6 linked regions of the Canis lupus familiaris genome follow. The protein of the gene in region 5 purifies or fractionates together with the protein of the main gene of each other region. This does not show direct contact. Links are inferred from orthologs where the notes say so. Each region holds a gene or a part of one and is shown on either strand. Other genes may lie near its edges. The genes, in order: MED24, MED25, MED12L, MED13L, CDK8 and MED16.

The links.
Region 1: the proteins of CDK8 (region 5) and MED24 purify together in Homo sapiens (affinity purification with mass spectrometry; 13 studies listed by BioGRID and IntAct, counting the BioPlex papers as one, with this or other methods). This does not show direct contact. The link is inferred for Canis lupus familiaris from reciprocal best matches to the Homo sapiens genes CDK8 and MED24.
Region 2: the proteins of CDK8 (region 5) and MED25 purify together in Homo sapiens (affinity purification with mass spectrometry; 8 studies listed by BioGRID and IntAct, counting the BioPlex papers as one, with this or other methods). This does not show direct contact. The link is inferred for Canis lupus familiaris from reciprocal best matches to the Homo sapiens genes CDK8 and MED25.
Region 3: the proteins of CDK8 (region 5) and MED12L purify together in Homo sapiens (affinity purification with mass spectrometry; 3 studies listed by BioGRID and IntAct, counting the BioPlex papers as one, with this or other methods). This does not show direct contact. The link is inferred for Canis lupus familiaris from reciprocal best matches to the Homo sapiens genes CDK8 and MED12L.
Region 4: the proteins of CDK8 (region 5) and MED13L purify together in Homo sapiens (affinity purification with mass spectrometry; 6 studies listed by BioGRID and IntAct, counting the BioPlex papers as one, with this or other methods). This does not show direct contact. The link is inferred for Canis lupus familiaris from reciprocal best matches to the Homo sapiens genes CDK8 and MED13L.
Region 6: the proteins of CDK8 (region 5) and MED16 purify together in Homo sapiens (affinity purification with mass spectrometry; 10 studies listed by BioGRID and IntAct, counting the BioPlex papers as one, with this or other methods). This does not show direct contact. The link is inferred for Canis lupus familiaris from reciprocal best matches to the Homo sapiens genes CDK8 and MED16.

The regions. Positions count from the first base shown.
Region 1 is NC_049230.1:22,449,387-22,453,493, forward strand, and holds the start of MED24 (mediator of RNA polymerase II transcription subunit 24), read left to right. Parts: upstream 1-1,307; 5' UTR 1,308-1,466; intron 1,467-1,844; 5' UTR 1,845-1,923; coding exon 1,924-2,053; intron 2,054-2,141; coding exon 2,142-2,224; intron 2,225-4,107. UniProt on the Homo sapiens protein: Component of the Mediator complex, a coactivator involved in the regulated transcription of nearly all RNA polymerase II-dependent genes.
Region 2 is NC_049222.1:107,405,568-107,409,067, reverse strand, and holds part of MED25 (mediator of RNA polymerase II transcription subunit 25), read left to right. Parts: intron 1-783; coding exon 784-882; intron 883-1,290; coding exon 1,291-1,411; intron 1,412-1,686; coding exon 1,687-1,849; intron 1,850-1,980; coding exon 1,981-2,111; intron 2,112-2,403; coding exon 2,404-2,491; intron 2,492-2,583; coding exon 2,584-2,777; intron 2,778-3,209; coding exon 3,210-3,338; intron 3,339-3,500. UniProt on the Homo sapiens protein: Component of the Mediator complex, a coactivator involved in the regulated transcription of nearly all RNA polymerase II-dependent genes.
Region 3 is NC_049244.1:46,222,505-46,226,658, forward strand, and holds the start of MED12L (mediator of RNA polymerase II transcription subunit 12-like protein), read left to right. Parts: upstream 1-1,354; 5' UTR 1,355-1,528; coding exon 1,529-1,627; intron 1,628-4,154. UniProt on the Homo sapiens protein: May be a component of the Mediator complex, a coactivator involved in the regulated transcription of nearly all RNA polymerase II-dependent genes.
Region 4 is NC_049247.1:13,395,099-13,399,130, forward strand, and holds the start of MED13L (mediator of RNA polymerase II transcription subunit 13-like), read right to left. Parts: upstream 2,801-4,032; 5' UTR 2,724-2,800; coding exon 2,652-2,723; intron 1-2,651. UniProt on the Homo sapiens protein: Component of the Mediator complex, a coactivator involved in the regulated transcription of nearly all RNA polymerase II-dependent genes.
Region 5 is NC_049246.1:13,239,498-13,243,559, reverse strand, and holds the start of CDK8 (cyclin-dependent kinase 8), read left to right. Parts: upstream 1-1,262; 5' UTR 1,263-1,371; coding exon 1,372-1,499; intron 1,500-4,062.
Region 6 is NC_049241.1:58,250,127-58,254,101, reverse strand, and holds the start of MED16 (mediator of RNA polymerase II transcription subunit 16), read right to left. Parts: upstream 2,801-3,975; 5' UTR 2,712-2,800; intron 2,189-2,711; 5' UTR 2,142-2,188; coding exon 2,009-2,141; intron 794-2,008; coding exon 686-793; intron 364-685; coding exon 194-363; intron 1-193. UniProt on the Homo sapiens protein: Component of the Mediator complex, a coactivator involved in the regulated transcription of nearly all RNA polymerase II-dependent genes.

The sequences.
Region 1 (4,107 bases), on a different chromosome or scaffold from region 5:
TGGAGACCCAGGATCGAATCCCACATCGAGCTCCCTGCATGGAGCCTGCTTCTCCCTCTGCCTGTGTCTCTGCCTCTCTCTCTCTGTCTCTCATGAATGAATAAATAAAATCTTTTTTAAAAATGGGTTTAGGGATCCCTGGGTGGCGCAGCGGTTTGGCACCTGCCTTTGGCCCAGGGCGCAATCCTGGAGACCAGGGATCGAATCCCACATCGGGCTCCCGGTGCATGGAGCCTGCTTCTCCCTCTGCCTGTGTCTCTGCCTCTCTCTCTCTCTCTCTGTGACTATCATAAATAAATTAAAAATAAATAAATAAATAAATAAAAATAAAAATGGGTTTAGATATACAGGAAAAGATATAGTAGGGAGCCCCCATCTACCCCATACCCAATTTCTCCTTTTATTTAGCCTCTTATGTTAGTATGGTATTTTTTTTACAATGAATGAACTACTATTGGTATGTTATTATTAACTGATATCTATGCTTTTCTCGTATTTCTTAGTTTTCACCTAATGTTCTTCTTCTGTTCCAGGACAACATCTGGGAGGGATACCAAGTTACATTTAATAATTATGTCTCCTTGGGGATCCCTGGGTGGCTCAGCAGTTTAGTGTCTGCCTTTGGCCCAGGGCGGGGTTCTGGAGTCCCGGGATCGGGTCCCACATCGGGCTCCCTGCATGGAGCCTGGTTCTCCCTCTGCTTGTGTCTCTGCCTCTCTCTCTCTCTGTGTGTGTCTCTCATGAATAAATAAATTTTAAAAAATTATGTCTCCTTAAGTTCTCTTGGCTATGACAGTTTCTTAGACTTTCCTTAATTTTAATAACCTTACCCCTATTTTCCTCCTTAGTTCTCCCCATATTCAAGCAGTATGCGGGGCCAGGAGATTCTGGGAGGACTGCCAAATCTGGGGGTTAAATGGTGATGTATGTGCAACTGATCAAGCCCCAATGTCGCCTTTGGAATACGAGAACTCTGGTATATGCAGAGGTGTAGGAGCACCAACTAATTAATTAATTAATTGATTGATTTAAAAAAAAAAAAGGCCAGAGAAGAGAAAAACGTATTACTGAACAAAAACCACACCCCTACTGTGCCTACTAGCATATAACGAAAGAGTGTCAGAATATCATTTAAATGCCTGGTCAACAGTGACGTCTTTGGGCGACGCCTGTTTACGAGCAGTCTTTTGAGAGCTCTCCCCCTCTTCGCTCCCGGAGTCTCTGTGATGCTTCAGCTCCTGCCTGTCCTTTTCCAAAGCAGAGAAACAATGCAGGCTGACTAGCTTAGTCCCTTGGGTTCTCACTAGCCCAGGCCAAGGAACTACAATTCCCAGAAGACATCGTGGAGTGACCTGTCTCTTGCCGCATTCTTATTGGCTCATGTTTGTTACTCCCAGCCAATAGAAGTTAAGCTCTTTGATAAGTGCCAAGATGGCGACACTTAGGATGTAGAACTAGCTTGTACGGTAGGCTTAAAATTGGGGAGGTGGTGGATGAAAAGGAAATAGGGAATTATAGTTTCAAGGTTGGGGGAGGTGGAGGAAATGGAGGAAAAACTGTGGGTTTGGGGTGGTAGGGGCTGAGGGACGCAGCCAGAGCTGAGGGCGTAATTAGGCATTCGTATTGGCTTAACCCCTTGCCACCCTCTTTACTCTTTATATTAAGTCCCTTTGACACCCTTTTCTTAGTGCTCCAGTTTAAGGAAGGATGATTCAGGAGGGAGGAACCTGACAGAATCTCTTCCTTGTCCTCTTCCCCATTTTTTCTTTGTAGTTCTTCTGCCTCCCTTAAATCTTCCCGTATCCGTTTCATTCAACCTGGCCCTTCTCTGTTCTTTCCTTCAGAATCTCCTCTCCCCTTCTCTTAGCTCAGTTTCTCCCACCTCAAAGCTGACTGCCATCGGCCCCTTCTCCGAGTGAAATCATGAAGGTAGTGAACTTGAAGCAAGCCATTTTGCAAGCCTGGAAAGAGCGATGGAGTGACTACCAGTGGGCAATCAACATGAAGAAATTCTTTCCCAAAGGAGCCACCTGGGACATCCTCAACCTAGCAGGTCTCAAGTGGAGTAGGAAGGAAGGATGGGAGGGCTAAACCCATAAAAATTATAACCACTCAGTCTTGCTTTGTTATTCCCCTTGCAGAAGCACTACTGGAGCAGGCCATGATTGGACCTTCCCCCAATCCTCTCATCCTGTCCTACCTGAAGTATGCCATTAGTTCCCAGGTAAACTGCCCCACCTATTCCAGAGAGTGAGGATTTGAAGGTAAAAGACTTGGAGTACAATCGTCAGCTCTCGCTTTCTAGGTGGATTTGTTTCAACACAACACTTCTCTGAGCCTCAGTTTTCTTGTGAAAATAATAATACTTCATTGGTTGTGATGAATGTTACATGAATTTATTCTATCAATAAATATTCATAAGTGTGTCAGATAGTGGTATAGGCCCTGGGGATATAGCTGTGAACAAGACCTGATCCCAGTACACACAAGGAATTTAGTGAGTAATAACAGACATAAGCAGTCACAGGATGGGTTTATTTATTTATTTATTTATTTATTATTATTATTATTTTTTAAATTTTTTTTTTTATTTATTTATGATAGTCACAGAGAGAGAGAGAGGCAGAGACACAGGCAGAGGGAGAAGCAGGCTCCATGCACCGGGAGCCTGATGTGGGATTCGATCCCGGGTCTCCAGGATCGCGCCCTGGGCCAAAGGCAGGCGCCAAACCGCTGCGCCACCCAGGGATCCCACAGGATGGGTTTATGACGAAGGTTAAGACAGTACTAGGGGAGTATGTGCGAGAGGCATGGAATTCAGCTAGGCAATCAGGAAAGGCTTTCTGGAGAAAGTGATGTTTAAACCAAGATCGTATTGTTAATAGGAGTTAGCCAGGCATATTGGTGAGAGTGTACTAAGCAGAAAGAAAAGCATATTTAGAGGCTGGGAGGCAAAAATCACATGTTGTTTAGGAACCGAAAAAAATTTATATGGGTAGAGCAGTAGTTTTGGTCTCAGGACCCTTTTATTTTCTTAAAAACTGTTGAGACTCCCACAAAGCTTTTGTTTATATGTATTACGTCTATCCATATTTACCGTTTTAGAAATGAAAACTGAGAAATTTAAAGAATAATTATGAACTTATTTAAAAGTAATAAAAAGTAAAGTCTGTTAAATAAAGCCTGTTATATTACACATTAATATAAATAACATTTTAATGGAAACCATATTTCCCAAAACAAAAAAGCTAGTGAGGAAAGTGTCATTGTTTTACGTTTTTGCAAATCTCTTTAATGGTTTAATAGAAGACAGCTGAATTTTCATATCTGCTTCTGCATTCAATTGTTGCAATAGGCTATTTTGGTTGAAGTTTATGAAGAAAATCTGGCCTTACACATCAGACATTTAGTTTGAAAAGGGCAGAGAATTTTTTTTTTTAAGATTTTATTTATTTATTCATGAGACACAGAGAGAGAGAGAGAGGCAGAGACACAAGCAGAGGGAGAAGCAAGCTCCATGCAGGGAGCCCGACGTGGGACCCGATTTCAGGTCTCCAGGATCACACCCCGGCTGCAGGCGGTGCTAAACCGCTGCGCCACCAGGGCTGCCCAGGGCAGAGAATGTTAAGCTTTTCAAATAACTGGATATTCATTGACACCAAAAATTCAACAGGTGATGTGAAACCACATAAATGAACTTAAAAATAAGTTAATTATTTTTTAAGTAAGCTCTTCATCCAATGTGGGGCTTGAACTCACTCACTACTCTGAGATCAAGAGTCTCATGCTCTGGCTCAGTTGGAGCCAGGCTCCACTCAATGAACTTTTTATACTCTGTTACATTGAAATCCATTGGTCTCTCTCTTGCATTTTGAACAGATCTTTTACTCATGCATGATTTTATAATATCACGAAGTGGTCATGTGGAAAATATCTGTTACTGGGTTACACAGATATTCCAATTGTTGACACATTTAATTATATGATTCACATGTCATGGAGCCTTTGGGATGTTCCACATACAGTTGTGGGAGAATGAGAGTAGAAAAGGCAAATAACATCTTAGCAATACTTTTTTTTTTAAAGATTTATTTATTCATAGAGACA
Region 2 (3,500 bases), on a different chromosome or scaffold from region 5:
AGGAGTCCAGGATCAAGGTGTGGGCAGGGCCATGTTCCCTCTGGAACCCCTAGGGGAGGCTCTTTGTCTCTTCCAGCCTCTGATGTCCCTAAATGATCCTTGGCTTGTGGTAGTGTTGCTCCAATATCCACATGGCATTCACCTTGTGTCTCTACATTGTCTTCCTTCTGAGCATGTCTGCTTCTGTATCCAAATGTCCACATTGGATTTTGATCACAAGGACACAGGTCATGTTGAATTAGGGCCGACCCTGTGACCTCTGTAGTCACCTCACCTCTGTAAATATCCCGTTTCCAAATAAGATCACGTCTGGTACTGGGAGTTAGGACTTCAACATTTCTTGGGGAGCGGGGCACAATTCAACCCATGACAAGGGGAGGACGGAGGAGGCCCCCACATTGAGCTGGGAGGGTGGGCCAAGGCCAGGCTGGCTTTAAACATGGAACAGCCCAAAGGGAAGGTGCACAGGGATGGGGACACGGGATGAGATCCTAGGCCAGGTGTCCTGGGCTCTTCCCTGTTCTGTGTTCTGGCAGGACTGCTGGCCAGAGGGCCTCCATCAGGAGAAGACAAACAGCCCTCATCCGCATTCACTAGGCCTGGCGCTGAGTCAGCACGGGATAGAACAGGAAGCTCAACAGGGTCTCTATGCCCCAGTGCAAAGTGGAGTGTGGGGAGGAGGGTGACACAGGTGCAGGCTCTCCAGGTGTGAGCTGGGGGCTGGGAGGTGGCAGCCCTGGGTGCCACGGGGAACCCTGGGGCTGATAGTCTCACCCCTTGCAGGTTCATGGGCGGGGGTGGTGAGAGTTGTAGCCTCATCGCGGAAGGCCTCAGCACGGCCCTGCAGCTCTTCGATGACTTCAAGAAGATGCGGGAGCAGATGTGAGTGTGCCCAGTACGTGGGGCCCCTAGGTGTCTCCTTCCACCTGACTTTGTTTGTCGCAGGACTCCACCCACGCCTCACACCAGGTGGGGGGGGCGGGTGGGCTGAGTGCTGAGTGCTCTAGGCAGGCGGCAAGAGGTGTCCCCTGGCCAATGCCTGGTCTCGGTGTCCTCATTGGGAAGAGGAGCCTTGCTCTGGGTCTGCCGCCTGCTTCCCCTATCTGCTAGGGAAGCCAGAGGGAGTCAGGAACCTCTCGGGGTCTCGGTGTTCTCGGCTGTAAAATGGGGCTGGTACTCCCAACTTCCTGTGGGATGGACCACTTGCACCCTGCTGGGGCTAGGGCTGGGTCTGTCCCTTCTGGGGGCCCCTGTTGTTACCGGCTCCACGTCTTTCCTTCTCCCTGGCAGCGGCCAGACACACCGCGTCTGCCTCCTCATCTGTAACTCACCCCCGTACCTGCTCCCTGCCGTCGAGAGTACCACATACTCTGGGTACACCACAGAGAGCCTCGTGCAGAAGATAGGTGAGGTGAGGACTCCTGAGCCTGGGCAAGGGGCTAGGGCTCGACTCCCAGATCTCAGGGAAGAGGGGGCTGGGGCCCGGACTCCTGACTTGGGGCCTGCTCTGCAAACAAACACCTTTGGGAAGAACTATAACCCCAAATCCCCTGTGGCAGCTGATACAGGTCTCAGGGTTGTTTGTCTCAAAGCCTGATGGGAATCCTGTTTTAAGGCCCAGGAGATGTGGTAGCCTGGGGGTGGCCCCTGTGGCCCCACCCTCACCGCTTATCTCTCCTCCTGCAGCAAGGGATCCACTTCTCCATCGTGTCTCCCCGGAAGCTGCCTGCCCTGAGGCTTCTGTTCGAGAAGGCAGCTCCACCGGCCTTGCTGGAGCCGCTGCAGCCACCAACAGATGTGAGCCAGGATCCCCGGCACATGGTGCTGGTGCGGGGGCTTGTGCTGCCAGGTGAGGCCTGAGTACCAGCAGTGGAGTGAAGAGGAGAGGGCCAGGCCCCCTCAACTCTCTCTGACTTGGTTTTTTCTCCCCTTCCTCAAACCCCTTCATGGGGGGCTTGGTTGTTCATGCTTCACTCTCAGTTGGGGGTGGCTCAGCCCCAGGCCCCCTGCAGCCAAAGCAGCCGGTCCCCCTGCCTCCAGCTCCACCCTCGGGTGCCTCACTCTCAGCAGCGCCCCAGCAGCCTCTGCCCCCCGTCCCTCAGCAGTACCAGGTATGGATGTTGCCAGAAAGGGAATGTGTTCCTGGGTCCTTGTGGGATCCCTTGCCTCTTGGGGAGACCTAGCTGGATGCTGGGGCTTGTAGGGTGACAGGACTCTCCACTGGGACGCTAGGATGGGTGGACTCTTGGGGCCAAGGAATCACATCCCTGTGGAGTGATGGGAGTCATCCTGCTGCGGTGTCACAACTGGGGTAGCTGTGCCTAGTTGGGAGGGGGCATGGTGGCATGATCCCACGGGACACCTTGACTGGGGTGTGTGGTCCTCATTGCCTTCCACTCCCAGGTCCCTGGGAACCTGAGTGCAGCTCAGGTGGCTGCCCAGAATGCAGTGGAAGCCGCCAAGAACCAGAAGGCTGGGCTGGGCCCCCGCTGTGAGTCCTGAGGCGGGAATCTGGGGTGGCCTGGGGTTGTCCAGACCTCTCTGCACATTTGTCCCCACCTCTTCTCTTGGTCTTTCCCACAGTCTCACCCATTAACCCTCTCCAACAAGCTGCTCCAGGAGTGGGTCCCCCCTTCAGCCAGGCACCGGCCCCACCACTACCCCCGGGGCCCCCTGGCGCCCCCAAGCCACCCCCTGCTTCCCAGCCCAGCCTGGTCTCCACTGTGGCTCCTGGCCCAGGCCTGGCCCCCCCTGCACAACCTGGGGCCCCATCCATGGTAGGTGTTTGTATGTCTGCCCCACTGCCCTACTCATTCCAGCTGCTAACAGAGCAGAGGCCAAGCAATTTGTCTTCCTGAGGAGGGTGTAAGGGTACATGAGTCTTGTTCTGGTTCCTCAGGGGTTCCTGGGGCTTGTGCCATGGACAACTGAGACTAGAGGGTCTGAGGATGGAATAGTGGGGCTTTGGCTTCTGGTGGGTTAGAACTGTTCAGAGGTGTCCCAAGGGATCCTGGGAGTCAGGATATCCATAGGTCTTCAGAGTCCTGGGATCCTACAAAGTCAGAGCATTTACGGTCTGAGGGACCATCGAGTGGTGTTGAGGAAGGCGCCTGTACTCTGCTCCTCCTGCTTGTCTGTCTCTCTCGGGTCACCCCTCCCAGGAGATGGTCTGACCCTGCTCCATTGCCCTCCTTGCTCCCCTCTGGCAGGCGGGCACGGTGGCCCCAGGTGGGGTGAGTGGCCCTGCCCCGGCGCAGCTGGGGGCCCCGGCCCTTGGGGGGCAGCAGTCAGTGTCCAACAAACTCCTGGCCTGGAGCGGGGTCCTCGAATGGCAGGAGGTGAGTAGCTTGAGGATTCCTATGGATCTCATGGCCTGTTAGGACTGGGGACTAGGCCAGGGTCCCTGTGGGGCCGTGGCTGGCCCTGTGGTCCTGAGTAGAGTCTCAAGGAATCCTTGAATTGGCAACTAGGGAGCTAGTAAGAACTGGGTTGCAAGTGAA
Region 3 (4,154 bases), on a different chromosome or scaffold from region 5:
ACGGAGGGAGGGCCCCGAAGCGGCAGCCATCATCCCCGGGCAAGTGGCGGCGCCTCCCCCGCCGGGTCCCGGGGGCGCGGCGCTCGCGGCAGGTGGCGCGGCCTCCCGGCGCCCAGGCCCCGGGGCGGGCGGCGATGGGCTCGGCGCCCCCGGCCCCCGCGCAGGTGAGGCTCCGGCCCAGGCCGACCCGGGCGGCGGCCGCGGGGGGGGCGGGGGGGGGTCCCGCGGGCGCGCCCCCCGCGCCGAGCCCCCCCGGGACCCCCCCACCCCCGGCGCCCGGGCCCGCGGGCGGCGCGCTCTGCGGCTGCGAAAACCCGGCGCGGCGGCTCGGAGCGCGCTCGCCAGTGCCGGGCCGGCCGCCGAGTGGGCATGCTCAGTGCGGCCCCGCGCCGGCCGCCAACTCCGAGCCTCGCGCGCCCGGGCCGTGGGGGCGAGGACGCCGGCGGCGGCGAGCCGGCGTCGCCCGCCGCCCCCAGCCAGCCGCAAACTTGGCGGGGTCCCCGGAGCGCGGGCCCAGGCCTCCCCGACAGGATCCCCGCGCCCGCGCCCGCGCCCCCGCCCCCGCCCCCCGCCCCGGATCATGGAGGCTGCGGCCGCCCGGGTGCCGCCGCCGCCGCCGGCCCCTGCGCGCTAGCGGGGACCAACAGGTAAAGCGTCGGGGGGCGGCGGCGCCCAGGGGTCCGCGGGCTCCCGCCGCCGTCGGCGCGCACGGCCCTCCCCGCGCTCCCCCGGCCCCGGGCGGCGCCGCAAAGGGTTAAGGCGGCCCCGCGCCTCCGCGAGCTCGGCCCCCTGCAGCCCCGCCGCGACCGCCCGCAGCGCGCTCGCCGCCTGCCCGGAGCCGCCGCCGCCGCCGCCGCCGCCGCCTGGGGGGGGGGGACCGGAGCCGCGGAGCCCCGGAGCCTCGGAGCGCCGCGGGAGCCAGGCAGGCGTCCAGCCCCTGCGCGCCCGCATCCCCGCGGGCCTCGCTCCCTGCGCCCCGGCCCGGCCCGCGCCCAGGTGCGGGGGCTGCGGGGAGGGGTCCCCGCCGAGCGAGAGCGGCGGGGGCGGGGGCGCCCTGCCCGGGGCCCGAGGACCCCCTCACCTGCCGGCAGCGCTGGGGCCGCCCGCCTGGGCGCCCAGAAAAGTTTTTTTTCCGCGCCCCCCCCCCCCCGCTGCCCGTGCCCCTCCCCCACCCCCGTGTCCGGCTGGGGTGGGTTTGGGTCCATTGGTGCAAAAAGTCACACGTCCCCAGCAGCTGCTCCTCCCCCCGCCCCCCCCCCCCCCCGGGGACGGGAGGAGCGGCGCGTCCCGGGCCCGAAGCGCCGCCGGTGCCCGCGGGAGGCTGCGTGCGCGCCGGGCAGAGGCTGCAGCCACCCCGCTTTCTTCGTGCCCGCAGCGCCCCGGCAGCGCCCCGGCAGCGAGCGAGGAGCGGCGAGGAGCGGCGAGGAGGGGGCGCGCGAGCCTGTCTGCAAAGTGCTGCTCCCTGGTGCTCAGAGGCGGCGGCTCCAGCTCCAACTCTCATTCATTTCGCCGGTTAACATGAGAGATCATGGCCGCCTTCGGGCTCCTCAGCTATGAGCAGAGACCGCTGAAGCGCCCCCGGCTCGGGCCGCCCGACGTCTACCCGCAGGACCCGAAGCAGAAGGAGGTGAGGAGGCGCCGGCGGGGCGGCCTCCCCCGCGCCCCGGGCCGCGCTCCGCAGCGCTGAGCCGGGGCCAAGTTGGCCCAGCGGGCGGCGCGGGCGCAGCTGCGGGGCCGGGGGCGCGGGAGGGGCGGGGGGCGGGGGGGCCCCGGTCCTCGGTCCTCGGTCCTCGGTCCCCGGTCCCCGGCGGCGGCGGCGGAGACCCCCCGGCTGGCGGCCCCTGCGCGGCGCGGGGGCGCCCGCTCTCCGCGACCCGGGTCGCCCGTCCCCGGGCCTTGCGCGGCGCCGCCGGGTGCCCCGCGGGGCCCCCCTCCGCCGAGCCCCCCTCGCCCGCGCGCCCCGGCCGCCGCCGGCCGTGGTTCGGTCCCCGCTGCCCCGCTCTGTCCTCGTAAACTTTTGGGGAAATGTTGGAATGCGGTGCCTCCGACACGGGTCCCCAGGTTTTGCGCCAGCTGAGCAGCGACCGGGTGGAGGGAGGTGGAGACGGGGGTGGAGGGGGTGGGGGGTGGGGTGAGGGGAGACCTTTTCTGGTCGGATTTTCCCGTTTGCTGGGGAAGTCTTTTTTTTTTTTTTTTTTTTTTTTTATCGAGGTGATGAATATTGAGGTCTTTGCACGCACTTCTTTCTGTAGTCCCCCTTTTCCCTTTAAAAAAAAAAAAAAAGATCAGTATTAAGGGGAGCCTGATTTTCGTCCCTAGAGGCGATTGGTTTAATTGCGGGAGGCTGTTTTGTATATGTAGAAGCCGACGGGTTACCTTGGAAGGGAAATGAGTCCCGAGATGGCTTATTTCTTTGAATGAAACGGGAGAAAGCTCGACTCTCGCCTTAGGTACACTGGCTTCGGTGTCTGGAGTAACCATGGCATTTTATAGCCATTGATGTGTTTGTCAGTAGTTAAGAAGTAATTATGTAACAACTCTCCAGTTATAATGATCACCCTTGGCTACACAATTTGCCCAGGGATTTGCCTTTTCTTTTCTTTCTTTCTTTTTTTTTTTTTAAAGATCACCTGCCACCCAGCTGTGCTTTCTGACTTTGCCAGCTGCAGCCCACCCATCCTCTGTTTTCTCCAGCAAAAAAAAAAAAAAAAAAAAAAAAAAAACCCAAAAAACAAAAAAACAACACACACTAAAAACGAAGTGAGCACATTGCAGAACTTCTCTCCGGGAATCTAAAAATCCTCTGTTAAAAGTTTGGAGGCCCACTGACATCACGGAAAGGGCTTTGTGAAGAAAGAGGGAGGGGTCCTTAGGACTCCCCTTTGGATAAAGGTATTTATTTCAGTAACAGAGGAAGAATGCTTGTTCTGATTAAACTTCTGTTAATATTTCTGGAAATTAAGGAGTGGCAGTTCCTTTTAGAGGCTTAAGCACGTAAACATGTTGGAGCATCCGTGGAGTGAGGAATTCAGGTGGAAGCTGGGAAGGTTTTACAGGTGGTTCTGTTGAGGCTTCATTCACAGAAGGATGGATTGATGAGATCTTGCAGATTCCCTCTCCATCTATTTCTCTCTGGGCTGTTTCCACTCAGATTAAAGTTAATTGTTAAGGACTAGAAATAACAGTTACTGAGGACCGACCGTAACAAAGGTAGTCGCTTACAAATCAGTGTCAGGAAATTTTTAAAGTTTTGGTGGGGACAGCGATACTGATTGGCTCATCGTTCTCCTCTTGTAACGTCTTGCCATATTTTCCAGAGGGAAGTGTAATTAATAGCATCTCCCTAGTTACGGGATGGTCGTCTGGGATGCCGTGTGGACTTAATATATATAGTGTTTATTTCTCAGGTCAGCGCTCATTCGGGATTGAGGCCTCTCCAACTATGGAAAAAATTATTTTGGATTTTAGGATTTTACAACATGTTCTGGAGTTCAAAACCAGAAGTGAGCTTAGAACCTATTTTATATAACTTTCTTTTGACAAAGTGAAACTGAGGCCCCAGGAAGCTTGCTTGACTTAATCAAGGTGTGTGAAAAAGAAGCGGAGGATTCGGACCACCAAACCAGTATTTGTGTCAAGACCAATACTGTGTTAAGAATGATTCATGTTAAATTGTGTTGTTCGGATATTACCCCCTTTCCCCCAAGGCAGCCAATATTTCGTCTCTCTGGAGCAGAGCCAGAGTTGTGTGTGGCCACAGTCAAATTTGAATACAATATGGAACAGGTGCTTGGCTGTTCTTGGGTGGTGGTGTGGTGAGCCCTGTTCCACAAGCTTCAGTTATTTATGTAGGTTCCCAAGAGTTCCTTCCTATCCCTGTATCACCTGTACTTTTATTCTAATGTTTTCTTTATTTTTTTTTAAAGATTTTATTTATTCATGAGAGATACAGAGAGAGAGAGAGAGAGAGAGAGAGAGGCAGAGACCCAGGCAGAGGGAGAAGCAGGCTCCATGCGGGGAGCCCGACGTGGGACTCGATCCCGGGACTCCAGGACCACGCTGTGGGCCGAAGGCAGGCGCTAAACCGCTGAGCCACCCAGGGATCCCCATAATGTTTTCTTTAAATTAACCTTTAAGAAACTTGGTTTCCTAGG
Region 4 (4,032 bases), on a different chromosome or scaffold from region 5:
AGAAAAATACATGCTATCATTAAGCACATAAGAGTCCTTGTAATACATGCTTTATTTTAAACAGGAGATGATTTTATCTCCCTTGGAATTAACTATTCTATACAATGTACTTCAGACAACGTATTTTTAAAATTCTAGGTTCCTGCTGTATTTGCTTTTCAAGGAAACTCTTCATTTGGAATGAGCAAAAATTCACAGTATCATCAGCTTTTTAAGATTCTCAATTAAAAAAAAAAATTAGCACCTTATCCACCCTTCATACACAAAAGAATGTAGACATTCTACAGTTGTTAAATAAAAAAGAAAAGGTCAACCCATGCATTTCCTCAGCTCTTTATTTCAAAGTTGCCACCTAATAAGTAATACTATACACACACACACACACACACACACACAAACAACAACAACCCTCAATTCCTGGTTTAAAAAGGCTGAGGAGAGAAATACCCAAAGTACAAACCTTTAGTCAGTCATAAAACACAAAATCCTCTCCTATAAAATTGCTTGTTTCTCCAAAAGAATCTCAAGCATCTTATCTCTTTAACATTATCATCCTTGAGTTAAAAAAAAAAAAGATAAAAAAATGATATATCCTAAAGTCTGGCTACACGTATAATTTCATTGGTCTGCAAAATCTACTGTATATAAATTAGCCACATATACACAAGCCATTACCAGTCTGAATGATATATGGTAATTTCGGGCCTCTCTCCTCACTAATATTGGTCTACTTGGTTATTTTAATTACCTGTTAAAGTGTCAATGTGGTCACCAGCCACCAAACAAAAACCATTTTAAATACCCCTTAATCAATATGTTTGCTAATCTATTAAAGTCTCTGAATCTGACTGATACTAAATGATATACTGGGAGAGAGAAAAGAGGTGGCAAAATGAATTCTATTCCTATATGTCGAAAGATCAAGGGAAAATTATCACAGTACGAAGAGGCAGAACTGAAACTTGTAATTGAATTTTAAGACTGAATACCTAAATAAAAATGTTGGAAGAAAAAAAAAAAAAGACTGACCTGATCTATACTTTAAAGTACAGATATTATGTCACCGTCTTTTTGTAGGTAAAAATCACGTGTCTTGATGTTTTTTATCTGCATAAGGAAATATTTAATAAAATAACACTTCCATTTGAAAAGTTGGCAAGAATGTGTATTTCTCCACTAGTCTCAAAGAGAAAAAAAAAAAAGCATCTATGCCTACCCATAATTAAATGTAACTAATTACAATTTGAACACTAAATTATTTATCCAGTGTAATTGTAAACAAGGATTAAAAGGAAATGATGCTTCTATCTACTGCAGGGGTTACAGAAAACAATTTCCAAAATGCATGCTCTCCAAAGGCAGTCCCCCTCAAAAAGGGTACATGACTTAAGTTGGGTTTTTTTAAAAGCTAAATTAAACAAACCGTTCAGCCAATTTTCCAATTATATTCTACGCTTGAAACATAATTGCCTTACATCTGTTTACAAATCTTTGCTCAATATTTAAACAAATTCGTAGTCTCCCGGGCACATAGCTATACATACAGTAACTCATGCACAAAGCACATATTTAAAGACCACGCACCGCAATTATTAGCCTAAACGCCAGGTTTAACAAGGTGAATGTTTTCAGAGCTAGGTAATACGACCCAATAAAAAAGCAAAGATGGCATTTACCACCAAATGTCAGTGCCACCGCCAGGAAAGAGTTGCTGGAGCCCTATACATTTTTAATTTCGATGAATCTAGACGTCGTCGTCGGGTGCCAGGCTTCCAGGAGAACAATTGACACCCTAACTGCTTCAAGATTAAGGCAGGCGATTCAAATCCGAGGGAAAAGTTGTCAATTATCAGAGAGAGAGAGCGCGAGAAAGGCGAAGGCAGATAAAAGCGATGTTATCAAACCGCCCAGCTTGTTGCTTTTGTGTGTGTGTGTGGATTCGTTGTTAGGATAGAGAAAACAGTTTTTAAAAGACACAGGAGGAGAGAGGGAAGAAAAAGGCTCCTCCACCTTCCGTCGGCTCGGTGCAATGGCTTTCCGGCTCTCCGGCGCAGGGAGCCCCGAGAGGCAGGCGGCCGTCGCTGTTTACAATCGCAGGAGCTTCGGGTGCAAGAGTCCTTTACTGACACAATCGCATTCAATCAACTGTTTTCGGGCGAAATTGCAGGTGTCATTACGGAATTAAAAAAAAATTTTCGAAAGGCGGGCGGGCAGCCGATCCCGCAAGGGGGGCGGGCGGGGGGGGGGGGAGAAAAGGCTGCTTATCGCGGGCGCGGGCAGCACAAGGCAAAGCCTTCCACATTTAGGGGTAAAAAAGGGGGGGGGGGGGAGAGAGGGGAGGGGAAGGGGGTGTGATGGCAACAGAGGGTGGGCGTTCGAAGTGCGACCCAGAATCCGCAGCTTTGAGACTTCCACATGCAAATTCCACGCCGAGCGCCGCGCTCACAAATGATTTTTAAAGAGCCAAATAAACACTGGACGGGATCCAAGGCGAGGGAGAGACGATCCAAAAGGGGGAGAAGCGGCGGGCGGCGGGCGGCGGGGAGCGGCGAGGGAGGGGCGACGTCCCGGCGGCGGGAGGAGAAAGTTGGTCGGCGGCGCAGGTCGGGCCCCCCCGCCGCAGCCCCCCTCCCCGCCGCCCGGCTACTCACCAGCGAGAAGAGGTTGGAGTGACAATCCTCCAGGCTCGCCCCGTTCGCCACCCAGTTCGCTGCCGCAGTCATGATCCTCCGCGAGCCCGGCCGCCAGAGCGGGGCATGTCGGAGCGAGGCGTCCGAGGCGAGGCCGGGCCGGGCCGGGCGGCGGCGCCTCGCCGGGGAGCGCGGGGCGGCCGGGCCGCCGCCGCCGGGGGAGGAGGGCGCGAGGGCCGGCGGGCGGGCGGGCGGGCGGGAGGCGCCGCGGCGACGCCGCGCCGGGGGCGGCGGGCCCGGGCCGGCGGGGGGGTCCGCGGCGGCCGCGCGGCTCCTTCCTGCTCGGGCGGCGGCGGCGGCGGCTCCCGCGGCGGCTCCCGCGGCGGCTCGCGCGGCTCCGGCGGCGGCGGGGGGCGCTGTCCGCGCGGCCCGGCGCCCTCCCCGCCTCTCAGGGCCGCCGCTGCCTCCCGGCCGGCCGCCGCCTCCGCCTTCCCTGTGCCTCCGCCGCCGCCGCCGCCGCCGCCACCGCCGCCGCCGCCGCCGCCGCCGCCTTGTTTATCTCCAGCCACCGACTCCCCCCGGCCCCCGCCGGCGCGTGAGGGGAGGCGAGCCCCGGAGCCGCCGCCGCCGCCTCGGAGCCGCCGCCGCCGCGGAGCGCGAACTCGCGAAGGGGGGGGTGCGGACGAAGCCAGCGGGCGACCCCGGCAGCCGAGCGACGTCCCCTCCTTCCTCTTCCTCCCCCACCCCCCCCCTCCTCCCCAGTCAGCCTCGCTTCTCCTCCCTCCCCGGGCTCGCTCGCTCTGACAGCAATGGCGGCCGCCGACCGCGGCTCGGCCCGCCATTGGCTAGCGCCGCGTCACGTGACGGGCGCCGGCCGCGCGGGGGGGCGGGGGCGGGGGCGGGGGAGGGGCCCGGAGCTGGAGCTGCAGCCGCGGCGGCGGCGGCGGCGGCGGCGGCGGCGGCTGGAGGGCGGCTCGCGGGCGGCGCTGCTGAGCCGAGCGCGGCCGGAGCCTCCGTCCGGGGGAGGGAGGGACAGCGAGAGGGAGAGAAAGAAGCGCGGGCGGCGCGGCTCCGCTGCCGTGGGCTGCCCCCGCGTGGGCGCCGTGCCCCGCCCCCCTCGGAGGCGCGGATCGGCGGGGCGCGACCGCGGGGCCCCGGGAACGCCCGTGGTCCCCGCCGTGGGCCCCCCGGGGCGGCGCAGGCGGGGCGGCCTGGCGGGGCTCTGCGGTGGGCTCGCCTGCCGGTCCCCCGGGCTGCGGGAGTGCCTCGGCGAGGTCGCGCTCGGGCGTCCGCGTTTTGCAGATGAGAAAACTGAAGCACAAAGAGATGAAGTCGAAGAGACCGAGTCACTTGCCCGAGGTCGCCCGGCGGGGAAGAAGCGGCGGCGGAGCTCGAACCCCCG
Region 5 (4,062 bases):
ACCTTCAGCTGGCACCTTTCCTACTTAAAATGATCAACAATTTAGTTTCCATGCATTTAGATTCATTGCTGTAATCATGGCTAAACTTTGCTGTTCTAGGCAGTGGTGCAGAAGGCTGTACTCAAAATAATGTTCCCTCTGAATGGATGGGAAGCATTCAGATGGTCACCTGTTACAGGATTAAAACTATGACCACTCGGGCTCATTGACTCACTTTTACCGACGTTTGTAATATGTGTCATGTTGGTATCATCGTGCAGCCCTTATCAGATTGTGAGCGACAAGAACACAGAACCGTCTGTGAGATGAGATGTTTACAAACATACAGACTTTCGATAATGATAATGCCCTTTAATATCTTGGAGTTCGGAAGTGGCACAAAATGTGGTTCTAATGCAAACTAGCTTCCCTCGCAAAAAATTTCTGGTTATGTTTATGGCCCAAATCTCGCTCTAGTGATATTGCTGTAAAAAAAAAAAATTTTTTTTTTTTCCTCCAAGCGATTGCCACTAATTTCACCTGGGACTACTGATCCCATCATGCAACGCTCCCGTATTACCACCGTGTGGGGCGGAGTCTTAGAAGGGGGTGGCAACGACGGCCGCCCGTGCATTCTGGGCATTGTAGTCTGGGGCCCTGGCCGCCGTCGGGACAATCCACGTGGTTCATCCAGCGGCAGCTTTGGGCAGTGGCCACCCCGCTTCCTCCACCCGGTCCTCGAGGTGCGGGCCCCAGCGGGGCCGGACCGGCAACGCGGAGCGGGCTGCGGGGAGGCCCGGAGGCAGCCGGAGCCTTCGCGACGTTTTTGCGACAGCCGTGGCCGTGTTCCGCGCGTCCCCTCCCTCCCTCCTCTCTCTGAGGAGGTACCGGCTGTTGTGCGGCGCTGCCTTTCTGTTTGAGTGTATGAGAGAGAGAGTGAGTGAGTGAGTGTGAGCGTGTGTGTGAGAGCGGGTGAGGCGTGAGTGCGAGTGCAAGAGGAGGAGAGCCCGCCGCGGCCGCCCCGCCGCTCCCCGCCGCGGGAGCAGAACGCGCAGCAGGAGCGAGCCGGAGAGCCGGCGCCCCGGAGCCCGCGGGGACAAGGGCAGAGACGCCGCTCCCCACCCCCAGCCCTCGTCCCTCCGCTCCGCCGCGCCCGGGGGAGCCTCCCCGTGCCCCCCCTCCCGGCCGGCCTCTGCCCCGCCGCCCCCCTGGATGTCCCCGGCGCTCTCGCGGGGCCTCCTCCTGCTCTTGCCGCATCAGTCAGGCTGGTGCTGCGGCCGCCGGGCGTAGAGCGGGCGGGTTCCCGGGGGCTGCGGCTGCCGGTGCCTCCCCGGTCCCCACCCCTGCGCCCCGGCCCCCCGACCCAGCTCCCCGGCCCCGGAGGCTGTGACAATGGACTATGACTTTAAAGTGAAGCTGAGCAGCGAGCGGGAGCGGGTCGAGGACCTGTTTGAATACGAGGGCTGCAAAGTTGGCCGCGGCACTTACGGTCACGTCTACAAAGCCAAGAGGAAAGATGGGTGAGTGTTTGTGTCGGTGCCGGTGTCCGCGCTGGGCGGCGCTCCCGCAGGCCGAGGCAGGTAGCCCGGGGCGGGGGGGGGGTGCTGGGGCGCCGGCGTGCCGGTCTCCCACTTCCTCGGCACCAGCATCGGGTCCTGCCAGCCAGGTTTGGGGAGGAAGTGCCGTACGAGGGATCCAAGCCCACGCGAAGCCCTGCCTGCCGCCGCCGCCTTCGTCTTCTACTTTGCTGGCTAATAGGGAGAAGCAGCATCTACTCCAGGGGCTGTACACTTTTCAAGGATTTCGGTTCTAGATTTTTAAAGAATTGTAGTAAAACGTCAGCTTAAATGATTTTCGTCGTGGGTGGGGGGGGGGATGCCTCGATTTATTATGGTGACCTTCTGGGGGATTTCCTCACGCCTCTGGAGTGAGATCCGTCAGTCTGGAAGGGAAGCTGCGATCCTTGCCCCCCACCGGGGTGTGATTGATTTATTACCAAATTTGGATTTTATTTGGGGGGGGGGGGGAGAAAGCAGCAGGTAAAGGTGATGCTGCAGAGTTCTTCGTAGTGATAATCGGATATAAACGTAGCAGTTGCTATTTAGAGATCATTAACCTGAGTTTTACATAGAACAATGGGGGTTTGGTGCAGGGTGGGTGGTGGGGAAAAAAAGGCAAGGGACAAATAGGGGACTATCTTGTTCAGGCCTGTTCCCCCAAAATGTAGCAGTCGGCAATGAACTGTAAATAGTCCCTTTGCTTTAAATATTTTCCCCTAGAAATAACTTAATTAAGTCTACGACTGGTAATGCTCTCAATTTAGTTTCTTAAACAGGCAAGTGAAGTGTTCATTTTTCCTTTGTCAGTAGATGAATGTCGTGTAATATTGACAAAAGAGAAGGCAATTCTTAGTTGAGGGGAAAATATATTTTATTAACTCCTTGTTTTCCTCTTGTAAAAACGTATGTTGTCTCTATCGCCTTAGACCGTGCGGAAAATTGCTGGAAAGATAATGTCAGAGCTTATTATATAATCTTTAGATTTCAGTGTAAACAAAGTAGGTTTATTTGAATATCACTGTTAATTTGCTAGCTACCTTTCACCATTTAAAATGATTGCTTTTTCCCCCCCCTCCCCAAATTAGGTAGGAGGGTATGTTCAGAACTATATTAGCGCTAGAAAAATGAAACCATTCATAAAGCTGAAGTAAGTTGGGGGGAGCCATATTTATAAATACTTTAATATTCTGGATATTGGAAAAGGAAGTGTATATTCGACATTTTTCTTAGATTTACTAAGATATCTTTTTAAGATACCTTAAAAGGGACTCTTAGAGGAAGATAGCGATTCTAATAAATTTAGTATGGTGCATTTCAGTGCTTATATGCAGCAATTAAAGCAGTACAGATATCTGCAAAAGGTCTGGATTTGAAAACTTGATACTCTGTGTGCTGCATGTATTTAAAAGTACTTAGTGGAAGATAATCTGGTGACATTTGAGAAATCATAGACTGGAGATGCCTGCTGTTGACTCTGTTGTTTATATTTTTAATTGAAAAATTCTAATAACATTTTTTTAAAATCACCTTTCTCATATAATATTTTTCAAAATCCTTAAACCATATCCCTTTCCCCCAATATTACCTAATTTGGGGCATATTCAGAAAATCCTCAATCCCATGAGAGTAGACATAGTAGGACATCTAACTAGTCTGTCATCTGCTTTATAAAATTATGGTGACCTTAAATTATTTTTAATCTCTCTGAGAGAAGCCAGTTTTATTTTCATAAATTAATAGTTTAAGCTAATAAAATACATAAATTTATTAACTTTGATTTTATATTTTATTTTAAACCTATGATACTGTTTATTGCCAAGAGGTACTTTTAACCACATTTTATACCTCATGGTTAGGTTTTAATTTAGACTAAGAATAGTTTTAGAAGAAATATACAATTTGAAAATAGCTAAATGTATATAGTATGTGAACATTTCTTAGGCATTTGTGAAAGCTGAAAAGTAGCATTGCATTTTGGAAAAAAAAATAACTTTATAATTCTTTGGGCTTGTTTTCCAGCAACCTTTAATGATTTTGTTTATAGGATGAACTTTAAAAACATACAGAAGGATCAAATGTCAAGAGAGTTTTAAAATTACTTAAGACAGCTTTTGTTTTCCAGAGGGAATATTTTTGGTTTGGCTTCTTATAACCTCCCTCTGGTAAAATACTGCATTGTATTTATGAGGTTCTTTTGATCTTATGTCAGTGAAATGTAATTTAATGCATTTTAGTCCTGGTAAAATAAAATCTGTGGCTGTTTAATCTTTTGTAAAAAGATGATGATGAAATAATTTGTTTCTAGTATTGATTTACTTTCAAATTAAATTATACATTCTGTAACTGAAATTTCAGAGTACTCTAGGAACCCAATTACACCTTCAAAGAGAATCCTGAGATTTACAATAAAATAGGTTTTGTTTAGACATATTTGCCTATTAAAATGAACATATGTAAATGTTGTATCCTTTCGGTTGTCCAGCAAGCATCACAGAACATGAGTACGTAGTAAAAGAATTTAGAC
Region 6 (3,975 bases), on a different chromosome or scaffold from region 5:
TCTGAGAACCACCGTCGTCGCACGGCGGCTCACCGAGGACACGGGTGCTCACAGTTTGACTGCAAGCAGGAGTTCGGCCCAGGACTAGAAAACCAAAGGATGCAGGTGGAGGGAGAGGAGGCGGCAGAGAGCAGGTGGACAGGCAGGTGAACGCGTCACCGACTGCACCTGCTTGCTCAGCCGGGACACCCACCTTTTCCACGTGCAGCGCCAACTTCACGCCATTGTGCAGCCAGGACAGGGCCACGATGGGGTCACCCTCCACCAGGCTGCCCACGTGGCTTTCCCAGCTGTTGGCCAGGTGGTCCGCCATGCTCCAGCACTTGATCTGCCCGTCAGCATCAGCCGACAGGAGCCGGGAGCCTGTTGGGGGCAAACCTGCGTTGCAAACCCTCCCCGTGGGCAGGGGCAGCTACTGGTAGCACGTCCGGGGCCTGGGAGAAGCAGCCTGGTGGCAGCACAGCAGGGGAGTGGCACGAGGTGCGTTCCCGAAACAAGTGTGTGCACTGGATGCGAAGAGCAGCGGCCACAGAGCCACAGGCTGAGGCTTCAAGTCCCAGAAGTGGACTCGGGGGATGTGACCAGGAAGACAGAGCATATCGTGACCCTGAGATTCAGGGTCAAGGAGGAGCATCACTGTCTCCCTCAGCCACGCAGGACGACCTGTCCCCAGGCCCCTCCTCACCTGACTGGTCCCACTCGAGGCAGGTGATAGCCTCGCTGTGCTCTGAGTTGACGGAGTGCACATCCCAGGGGTGTTCCGTGTCCAGGATGTGGATCATGCGGGTGAGGTCTGCGGAGGACAGCGCAGTCAGCACGGCAACCATAACCACCCTGGAGCTTCTGAGGACCCCAGGAGGGCTCAGAGAGGATTCCAGCGAACGATCTACCCTACGGGGATGGCAGGTAGCTGCGCTACCGCTAACCACGCAGAGAGGCTAACCACGTAGAGAGCCCTGCTGCCAACAAGGAACAGCCTTTGTGTTCCTGGGTTCCCTCTGGGGACCACAGCAGGCCTGTGACCTTGCCACTAGTGTGACCGTGTTTTTATTTTTTTTTAATTTTTATTTATTTATTTATTTTATTTATGATAGTCACAGAGAGAGAGAGAGAGAGAGAGAGAGAGAGAGAGGCAGAGACATAGGCAGAGGGAGAAATAGGCTCCATGCACCGGGAGCCCGACGTGGGATTCGATCCCGGGTCTCCAGGATCGCGCTCTGGGCCAAAGGCAGGCGCCAAACCGCTGCGCCACCCAGGGATCCCATGACCGTGTTTTTAAAAGAAACACAGAGAGGCGTGTGGTTGGTTCAGCTGGCTGAGCGTCAGCCTTCGGCTCGGATCATGATCCTGGGGTCCAGGGATGGAGCCCCACATCGAGCTCCCTGCTCAGCGAGGAACCTGTCTCTCCCCCCACACCCCCTTCTCTCTCTCGCTACCCACCTTGAATAAATAAACAAAAATCTTAAAAAAAAAAAGAAATCAGAAAACAAGAAAATGCCCCCAAATGCTAACAACGGGCATCTCTCCACGGCTCTTTTTCCTTATTCTAAATTCCTCTGCTTTCCTAGTTTCCTCCAACAGATACGTGCTACTTAAACAACACACAGAAAACAGGGCCCCACGAAGCAACTTCAAAGCTTCTTCTTTCTTTTTTTTTTTTTTTTTTAAACTTCAAAGCTTCTAAAAGCAAGATGCAAACGTACAGTCTGGGAAACTGGGGCTCAGGGCTCTCAGCCCTAGTGGACCACACACCCCAGGCCCTATTCCAACCGGAAGGGGTGATTCCGGGGTCCCACCTACTCCAGCCCCAACGCCAGGTGCAGGAGCGGTGCACCTGCCCTTTGCACGCCTGTGAGGTTAGGGTCCTCACCACCCGTCGGTTATGGATGACAAAACCCTGAGAGGGCCACATGGGTGAGGCGCAGCTCCCAGGCACGCCTGGAGACCCAGAGTCCCCCCAGCGCGGACGCTGGGGCAGGGGAGCTGGGCAGGGGGCAAGGAGGCACACCCTGGTCGTCGTTCCGCAGGTCAGTGGTGAAGGCGATGAGGTTGCGGCAGGACCAGGCACAGGCCAGGGGCACTGACGGGCAGTGGGTACTCTTGGGCCACCTCTCCCACTCGCACACGTAGGCCAGATCCATCGCGTGCCCGCAGGCCACAGGTCCCACGGCGAGGGCGGCCGGCTCTCCTGCGGGAGGGCGGGCTGGGTCACCGCGCGGTCCCCGCTGCCTGCAGGGCGCCGAGATGAACCAATCCCCGCCCCTGGGGCTCGTGGGAGGCCTCAGCGGGGGCAACACCGGCGTGCGGCTGGCAAAGGGCAGGCGCGCAGCTGCCTGGGGAGGGGCCGCCGCAGGTGGAGGGGCACAGGGGCCCACGCGGCCGGAGAGATGAGCGAGGGGGGCGGGGCGGGCGGCGGGGCCCGGAGGCCTCCACCCCAGGGGGGTCCCCAGGGGGGCGCAGGGCGGTACCCGGGCCCCTCCTGCAGCGGAGCCACAGGCGCCGAGCTCCCCGGCGGCCCCCCGCGCCGGAGGCGGGCCACGTCCTGACCCCGGGCCCGGGGCGCTACGAGTCCGCTCAGCCCCGCCGTGTCCCCCGCCGCCCGAGGCCCCGCGCCTCCGAGCCCCGACGCGGACGCCATGCCCCGCCCCCGCCGGCCCCCAGGCGCCCCGCAACCCCGAGGGCGGCCCCCCGAGCCCCAGCCCCGCGCTCACCGGGCAGGCGGCCGCGGCCCACACCCGCCCTAGCTCCGCGGCCCCGGCGCCGCCATCTTCCCCGCGACCAACGAGTCGCCCGCGCAGCGCGACCGCGCCCCAGAGACTCCTGGGAAGGCGGCGACCACCGCGCCCCGCCCCACTTCCGACTCATTTGCATACGACTCTTCATGGCGTCCCGGCAGCCACCTGAGTTCTAGTTGGTAGCACAGCGAGCACTTTCCCAACTTCAGCGAAGGATCCAATCTGGCTGCCCTACCTGCTTTGGGAGTATGGAAGAAGAGAGAGGTCGCTGACCCCGGTGTGGGGAAAAAGTTCACCCTTTGTGTAAAGTGACTTCATCTTGGGACTATAAATACTCGCTGGGCCGCTTTGGAATTCGTGCTCGCTTCGGCAGCACATATACTAAAATTGGAACGATACAGAGAAGATTAGCATGGCCCCTGCGCAAGGATGACACGCAAATTCGTGAAGCGTTCCATATTTTGCTTTTCTCCCCGGACATCCGCGTGTGGGGAAACTGAGGCTCCACACGTGGAGGCCTGACCGACCGAGCAGCGCCTGCGTCCCAACGTCCGGTGCCTGCGGCTCCACGGTGACGCCGGCCACGCGGGGTCCGCCCGTGAGTGGGCAACGCCCTACCCTTGGGGAACCCGAGTGCCCCTCCCCCCCACTCCACGGCCTCCGGGGCATCTCGTGGCCGTGCACGCTCTAGCGTGTCCGCTGGCCGCCAGGTTGGGCACAGGGGGTCCTCCAGGTGGGCTAGGCCGGGCAACCAGGTGGGTGCAAGGGGGTCCCCAGGTGGGCTCAGGCAGGACCACCAGGCGGGTGCAGGGGGGTCCCCAGGTGGGCTCAGGCAGGACCACCAGGCGGGTGCAGGGGGGTACCCCAAGTGGGCGCAGGTGGGGCTGCCAGGTGGGCGCAGGGGGTCCTCCAGGTGGGCGTAGGCTGGGCCGCCAGGTGGGTAGAGGGGGCCGCCACGTGGGTGCAGAGGGTACCCCAGGTGGGAGCAGGGGGTCCCCCAGGTGGACACAGGCAGGGCCGCCAGGTGGGCGCAGGGGGTCCTCCAGGTGGGCGTAGCCTGGGCCGCCAGGTGGGTGCAGGCAGCCGCCAGGTGGGTGCAAAGGGTCCCCCAGGTGGGCACAGGGGGTCCCCCAGGTGGGCGCAGGCCGGTCCGCAGGTGGGCGCAGGCGGGCTTAGGGGGCGCAGCCCTGATCCCTGGACAAGCCACACCAGCTCCCCTGGCGCCCGGCGGGCACTCAGA